Coturnix japonica: one gene and its partner. The protein of the gene in region 1 interacts with the protein of each later gene in a pairwise test. Links are inferred from orthologs where the notes say so. Each region holds a gene or a part of one and is shown in the gene's direction. Other genes may lie near its edges. The genes, in order: DNPEP and MPP1.

The links.
Region 2: the proteins of DNPEP (region 1) and MPP1 interact in binary tests that used the Homo sapiens proteins (3 or more experiments, as listed by UniProt). The two-hybrid records come from large-scale screens. The link is inferred for Coturnix japonica from reciprocal best matches to the Homo sapiens genes DNPEP and MPP1.

The regions. Positions count from the first base shown.
Region 1 is NC_029522.1:24,543,708-24,547,961, reverse strand, and holds the start of DNPEP (aspartyl aminopeptidase), read left to right. Parts: upstream 1-1,338; 5' UTR 1,339-1,360; coding exon 1,361-1,366; intron 1,367-1,482; coding exon 1,483-1,564; intron 1,565-1,635; coding exon 1,636-1,724; intron 1,725-1,807; coding exon 1,808-1,921; intron 1,922-2,103; coding exon 2,104-2,229; intron 2,230-2,338; coding exon 2,339-2,469; intron 2,470-2,707; coding exon 2,708-2,792; intron 2,793-3,253; coding exon 3,254-3,361; intron 3,362-3,593; coding exon 3,594-3,671; intron 3,672-3,974; coding exon 3,975-4,055; intron 4,056-4,254.
Region 2 is NC_029519.1:2,078,459-2,081,252, reverse strand, and holds part of MPP1 (55 kDa erythrocyte membrane protein), read left to right. Parts: coding exon 1-66; intron 67-500; coding exon 501-581; intron 582-1,043; coding exon 1,044-1,246; intron 1,247-1,512; coding exon 1,513-1,587; intron 1,588-2,794. UniProt on the Homo sapiens protein: Essential regulator of neutrophil polarity. Regulates neutrophil polarization by regulating AKT1 phosphorylation through a mechanism that is independent of PIK3CG activity.

The DNA.
Region 1 (4,254 bases):
ATGCTGGGGGTGGCTGCTTGTCCTTGAGTGCCATGGGGATGCTGGGGGTGGCTGGCTGACCCCAAAATCCATATGAATGAAGGGCATGGCCCCCTCAATCCATGTGAGTTGTCACCTGTTGATGTGTTGTCACCTTCATCCATGGGGACATTGTGGGGGCACTTGTTATGGCCCAGTGAGGATGCTGGGAGACAGCCACCTCTACGCCCTGTGAGGCTGCCTGCACCCATCAGCCACATCTACTGTGACCCATGGGGATGCAGAGATGTCCATCTGTGTCACAGGCCGTGGGGATGCCCACAGCTGTCCTGGCAGCCCACAGAGATGTGGGATAACTCGCCACCCTCACGGCCCAGAAGGATGCTGTGTTGTCCATCTCCATGGCCTCGATGGCATCACCCATACCAGTGAGATGAGGCAGCTCCCGTCCCACCGCATGGCTGGTGGTTGGCGTAAGGGCGGCCGTGCGCTCAGCCTCCAGCAATGCGCGGCCGCTGACTTCACTTTCCCATGCAGCGACACGTGTCCTGGGGTGGGGGCTCGGCAGCAGTCGGGTGCCATCCCTGCTCTCATCCCGGCAGGGCGGGTGCCTGGGGGGAGAAAGGGGCGGCCCTTCCCGGAGCTTTGCGCATCCATCCTGGCCGCCTGGCCCTTAACCCCTTCCAGCGGGGCTCAGCTCCAGCCGCACGGCCCTATAGCCACGGGAAGGGGCACGGCACCCGTGGGCGCACTCAGGAGCCCCGTGGTGGGACACGAGGGTCCGTGCCGCACTGAGCGCTGCAGGGTGGGGCAGTGATGGGGCGGCAGGTGCAGGGTGAGTCAGGGAGCACCCAGGAATAGCCGCCGGCAGCTTTTCCAGGAAGCCCCTGCGGCTCTGGGAATTAGCAGCCGCGTGCCAAGGCGCTGCCCTTTGCCCACTGCAGCGGGGCCACACCCGGCCCCGCCACTCACCCCGCACCCCCGGCACCCCGATCCCATACTCATCCATTGGGGACTAAGCGAGCACCCCCTGCCCTGGGGGCCCGCAGCTGATCCACATACCCCGAGCCCCCCGAGCCCCCCGGCAGGAGGCTGCAGGCCGTGGATACGGCACGCCCTGTGTTTAGCTGTGATGGCCGCGGTTGGCATGGAGACCCCCCAGCTGTCCTCTGGCTGTGTGCCCGGCAGGGGGGCCCGTTCCTTTTTATTTTATTGAGGGGTAAGGCAGGTGCTGGGCTGGGATTCAGGGCTGCCGGGGTCACGGCAGCCGGACCACCAGTTTCCAGGCCCAGATTCCAGTTTCAATGTGCCACCAAGGTCTCGCTTTGACGGGGGGTCAGAGAGGGGGGAGAGCGGGAGGGGGGGCGGGGCGGTGGCGGCCATGCAGGTACCGGGCGGGCGGCAGCGGAGCACGGGGTTGGGGGGGGGGTTCGGTACCGGGAGGGATGGGGGGGTTCGGGGAGCGGGGCGGCTCCCGGCTGAGCCCGGTGTGGGTGCCCGCAGGCGGTGGGTCCGAAGCAGGCCGTGCAGGCGGCGGCGCAGGAGCTGGTGAGGTTCGTCAACCGCGGCCCGTCCCCGTACCATGGTAAGAGCCCCCCCCGCCGCCCCTCTACCGGCTGTAACTGAGCCAGCCGTCTGACCGGGCCTTCCCCGCAGTGGTGGCCGAGTGCCGCAGCCGCCTGCTGCAGGCCGGCTTCCAGGAGCTGAAGGAGACCGAGCACTGGGACATCCGCCCCTCCTGCAAGGTGGGACCGGGGCTGGGGGGCACGTGGGGAGCGCGGCTGTCACGTCCTGCTCCGTACACCGCCCCCCTTCCTCCTCCCCGCAGTACTTTGTCACCAGGAACTACTCCACGCTCATTGCCTTCGCCGTCGGGGGTCGCTTCCAGCCGGGGAATGGGTTCAGCCTGCTGGGGGCACACACCGACAGCCCCTGCCTCAGGGTGAGACCTTCCCGATGCCTTATTGCTCTGACATCTCCCTGTCCCCCCCTGCAGGGTGCTGACTCCCCGCATTGCTCCACTTTTGCGTTCCCCTCCCTACCAAGCACTTCAAGGCACGCTGGTGGGCTCTGGGCATGCTCTTCCCGGTCCCAATCCCTGGTGTCATCTCTGCATCCATCCAGGTGAAGCGACGCTCCAAGCGAGGGCAGGTGGGCACGGTGCAGGTTGGTGTGGAGACCTATGGAGGAGGCATCTGGAACACATGGTTTGACCGTGACCTCACTGTGGCAGGAAGGGTGATCGTCAAGGTGAGCCCGGCTGGGGGCTGTGGGGTAAAACACGCTGCTGCTCCTGCCACCTCTGAGTCCTGCAGACCTGGCCCAGTGAGGCAGCTTAATGGTCCTGCTGGTATTTCAGGAGCCAAACACAGGGCGACTGGAGCAGCGGCTGGTGTGTGTGGAACGGCCCATTCTCCGCATCCCCCATCTGGCCATCCATCTGCAGCGCAGCATCAATGAGAACTTTGGACCCAACACCGAGCACCACCTGTAAGGCCTGGCTCGATCCTCACAGCTGCAGCGGTGCCCAGCCCCTGTTCTATCCCTCATTGCAGTGGGGTGGACAACAATGGCTTCACTTATAGTGAAGGGCTTGGGGATTAGCACTGGGGTGTCCTAAGGTGGCACAGTAGGTCTGTGCTTTAAGTTTAGAGTGTCCTTGCTCCATTCAGCCAGTCCCCAAGGGGTAAGCAATGGCCTGGCAGCTGCTGACACTGTCTCCCCACAGGGTTCCCATACTGGCTACTGCTGTGCAGGAGGAGCTGGAAAAAGAACCATCCACAGAGCGCACAGCTGGCGTTGCTGCAGCCCAGGTGAGTGGGTTCCTAAGGACAAGGGGGAGGCTCACTAAGGTCTCTCACATGCCATCTTTTGATCTCTAGTCCTCAGAGCTCCCTGCCAGCAAGTTCTCGTCCTTCCCATTCACAGCTACTTGCTCTCAGCTCCACTCAGAACCACTTACACAGCACATGTGCTCCACTGTTGTCTGTTCCCACCCTAGCCTGCATTCATCCTAAAGAAAAGTGGAAATCCCCCATAAAGCTGTCATGTATGGCCCCCCCTTTTCTCTCAGAGGAGGGAGGGGAGGTTGAACAATGGGAGAGAGCCCCTCACTATGCCCTGTGAGCACCACTGCTGCCCTTTGTGGGTTGAGTGCTCAGATGCAGAGTATGTGAGTAGACAGGAAGCCTAGGACTGCAGTGTGAGGAAGGAATGGGAAAGTTTCTCTGCCATCCATCACTTTGCACTGCCCACAGCTCTGCTGTTTTCCCAGACAGAGAGACACAGCCCTGTCCTGCTTTCCCTGCTCTGCTCCCAGCTGGGAGTGAAACCAGAGCAGATTGTGGAGCTGGAATTATGCCTGGCGGATACGCAGCCAGCGGTGAGTACAACAGAGCCTCCTTCTACCTGTATGCAACATGCCTGCAGGCTGGCACTGCCCAGCTCCCATGCACAGCACGCTTCCTCTGCCTGGGGCATGCAGGGCTGGGAGCTGAACCGACTGAAAGGAAATGCCTTCTAGGGGGCAGAGGTGGGGACTGGGCTGGAGACACATCACACCTGCTCTTTGTTGTCCCCAAACCTGTGCCCTACTCCTTGTTCTTTGACTGCAGACTCTTGGTGGTGCCTTTGATGAGTTCATCTTCTCCCCACGTCTGGACAACTTGCACAGCTGCTACTGTGCTCTGCAGGTGAGAGAAGGAAGGAAGGAGCCTTGGGGCTTTGTCATGGCCCTCTTGTGTCTTGACTTAGCTTTGCTGGTCTGTTAGCTGGGTCCTGTTGCAGGGATCCTTGCTCGTCAAAGGGCCTGGGGTTGGACAGTGGCTGCCCCCTTGTGCTGGGTGTGTGGCATTCCTAGCATCTCCAATGTACCCACAGCTCCTTTCCTTGGTGCCTTAGACTTTCCTGGGGATGTTCCAGCCAGTTCAGTGCTGAGCTTCCTAGGATGGGGTGGCACTTACGCTAGTGCTCCTTCTCCTCCTCTGTCTCTCCAGGCACTGATTGACTCGTGCACAGCTCCCTCCCTCTCCCAGGAGCCCAACGTGCGCCTCATTGCACTCTATGACAACGAGGAGGTGAGGGGCATAGCCGTGGGGCAGCTGGCACACACAGGGGCTCTGTGTTCTGTTCTCCTTCCACCAATGATTAGGACTTACATCCCAGCCACCCATGGAGCACCATAGGGTTTGCTCACCCCACCCTGGGCCTGGCAGGGAGTGAGTTGGAAGCCTCTTTGCTGGGTGTGGGGAGCTTGCTATCCCTCAGCTGACATGG
Region 2 (2,794 bases), on another chromosome or scaffold:
ATGTAGTTTCATACGAGGAGGTGGTGAGGCTGCCTGCCTTCAAGAGGAAGACACTGGTGCTCATAGGTAGGTCCTGCCCCTGTCCTGCACGTGGTAGGGGCTGTGGGGAACCAGGGCTGAGACAGCACTGCCCTTTGAAAGCTGGTAAGCACTGGGGAGCATTTCTTCTACCTGCAGCGATTGCCCGGAAGGGTGATATCTGCCACGTGGCACTGTGCATGTGGTCTGGCACCTGCACTCTAGTGCTGAGGAGTAATTTCAGGAGAGTTTCTGCTCTTGAATGTCTTTATGGTCTGTGCAGCTGCACCAAAGCCAGCACTCCCATGCTGAGGGTGCAATTTCTGGTGGAGTTGCTGGTCTAAGCAGCCCAGCCTGCAGGCACCTGTGAGTGCACTTAGGGCAGGGAGACCCTCCTCCAGGGCTGGAAAACACCACAGAGGGTTGCACCTTCTCTTGGACACTCCTCAGCCCAGCTCATGTCCACCCCTCTTTCCCTGTAGGGGCCAGTGGAGTGGGTCGCAGCCACATCAAGAATGCTCTGCTCAGCAACAACCCCGAGAAGTTTATGTACCCTCCACCATGTAAGTAACCACAACCGGGTGAGGGCATGCAGCACTACCCCTGTACATTTCCTCACCTCCTCTTCAAGTCACCAGGTGGGATGGGAGGTGGGGAGATGTTCTTTGAGCACCATGAAGCTTTGGTGTCACAGGGCACCAGACAAAGCCCTGCAGGGTCTTCCTTCCTCCTACTCCACGTGCTGAACTTAGTCAGAGATGACTGGGCTGCTGCTGCTCACATTGCAGACATCCTGTCCCCATCCCAGTGCAGCACCTTGCAACTCTCCTCACACTGGCCACGTTGCCTACTTGTCCTGTTTAGGATGGAGTTCCAATGGGGTTGATGAGGTACATAGGTCTTCTGTGCTCTTCTTTGCTCTAGCCCCATGCTCACAAAGGGTCCATAAAACCCCAGTTTGGCTCCCTGACCTCCTGGAGGTCAGCACCTGGCTGAGGGCATCGTGCATTTTTCTCCCTCTGCAGACACCACGCGCCCCCAGAAGAAGAATGAGGTGGATGGGAAGGACTACTACTTTGTTTCCACTGAGGAGATGACCCGGGACATCTCAGCCAATGAGTTCCTGGAGTTTGGGAGCTACCAGGGAAACATGTTTGGCACCAAGTTTGAAACAGTGCACAAGATCCACCAGCAGGACAAAGTCGCTATTTTAGACATTGAACCTCAGGTATGAAGCAGGGAAGTGGTGGGCAGAATGGGGACTGCTGCAGGCTGGACAACCCTTGTGTGGGCTGTGACCATCCCCACACACCTGCCCTTCCCCAAGCTGTACCGTTGCCCTTACATTGCCTTCCTACCCCCAAGCTCAGGGGTCCACAGCCCCTTCAGCCCACTGTTGCACCACAGGCACCAGTGAATCTTGGCTGGGGGAAGTAGGGGCAGCCGCCCGCCAGCTTGCCATGTTCTGATGACTGCACTCTGCTCTCTCTCCAGACCCTGAAGATTGTCCGCACGGCAGAACTCTCCCCATTCATAGTCTTCATTGCCCCAACAGACAAGGCAGAGGAGGTGGGTTGGCGCAGTGGTGGCTGCAGCTGTCCAGCATGGGGCAGGGAGTGGTGAGGAGCCCACGGGGGACAAAGCCTTGTAGCAGCCCAGGGCTCTCTTCCTAGCTCTGTAGAGAGAATCAGCTTCTTCTTGTTCAAACTGGTTTCAGTGGTCCAGGAGAGCAGCGGAACTATATCAGCCCAGACCCAAGAAACAGGACTTGGGGATTCCTGCAGCCTCAGGCTCTCTACTGTAGGGAGATCCCAGCAAACACCATCCCTGGAGGAGCACAATCAGTCCCAAACATGTAGCTGGGTGCACAGCCCAGCACCAAGGGCTGTCTCTAGCTGCAGCAGTGCTGCAGAGCAGGAACACATACCCTGCCATCAGCTATGCAAATGGGACACACAAACAGCAGAGCGTTTCATTCTTTAGCTCCTGTAGATGCTCATCCCTCCGAAATTAGGATGAAGCAGCACTAATGCTGCAGTTAGCTCACACAGCACAGAGCACAAAGCTCTTGGCTGCATCCTGTTTCCCAGAGACAGAGCAGTTCTGCCTCTGCTATACCACCTCCACCAGGAGAAGAGGGGAGAGAAGGCAGACCCCCAGAGCCGTGCTCCTCCTGGATGCCAAGCCAGCCAAGGCATTCTCTGCAAGCTGGGCTGGCTCAAGCCAGTAGCTGGGGGCTTCATAATGTTTACAGTACAGACAGCAGCTGGTACAAGGTCTATCTGCGTAGCATCATGAAGCTGGTTGGAGACACATCAATATGTGGAGTGTAGTAAAGCCAGATGGAGCAGGTAGGGAGGTTCTGGGCAGAAAGGCGAGCATGGCAGCCCTCTCCTCTAATCTGTGCCCCATCAACAACTGCCTCCAGTCCCAGAACATTAACTCCTGCCGCAGTGGGCAGGGCCAGCCCTGCTGCTGCACACACTATATATAGCAAGCTGCTGCAGCTCAGGTAACTGCTCACTGGAGGGGACACAGCAGTGCCAAAATGTGACTTAGCAGAGCTCACATGACCCAGGCAAACTGCTTAGTGCTCTCCTTCTTCCACCCTGCTGACAGCTGCTGAGCAACACCCAGCAGCACTGCGGTGAGCACATCCCCCCTAGGTGCAGGACCTGTAAGCAGTTCAAGCTCCATGAGGGAGATTCCTGGAACTGGGTCTGGACTGCCTGCATTGTGCTTCCAGGGTGACCCTACTAGCTGCAGAGGTGTACAG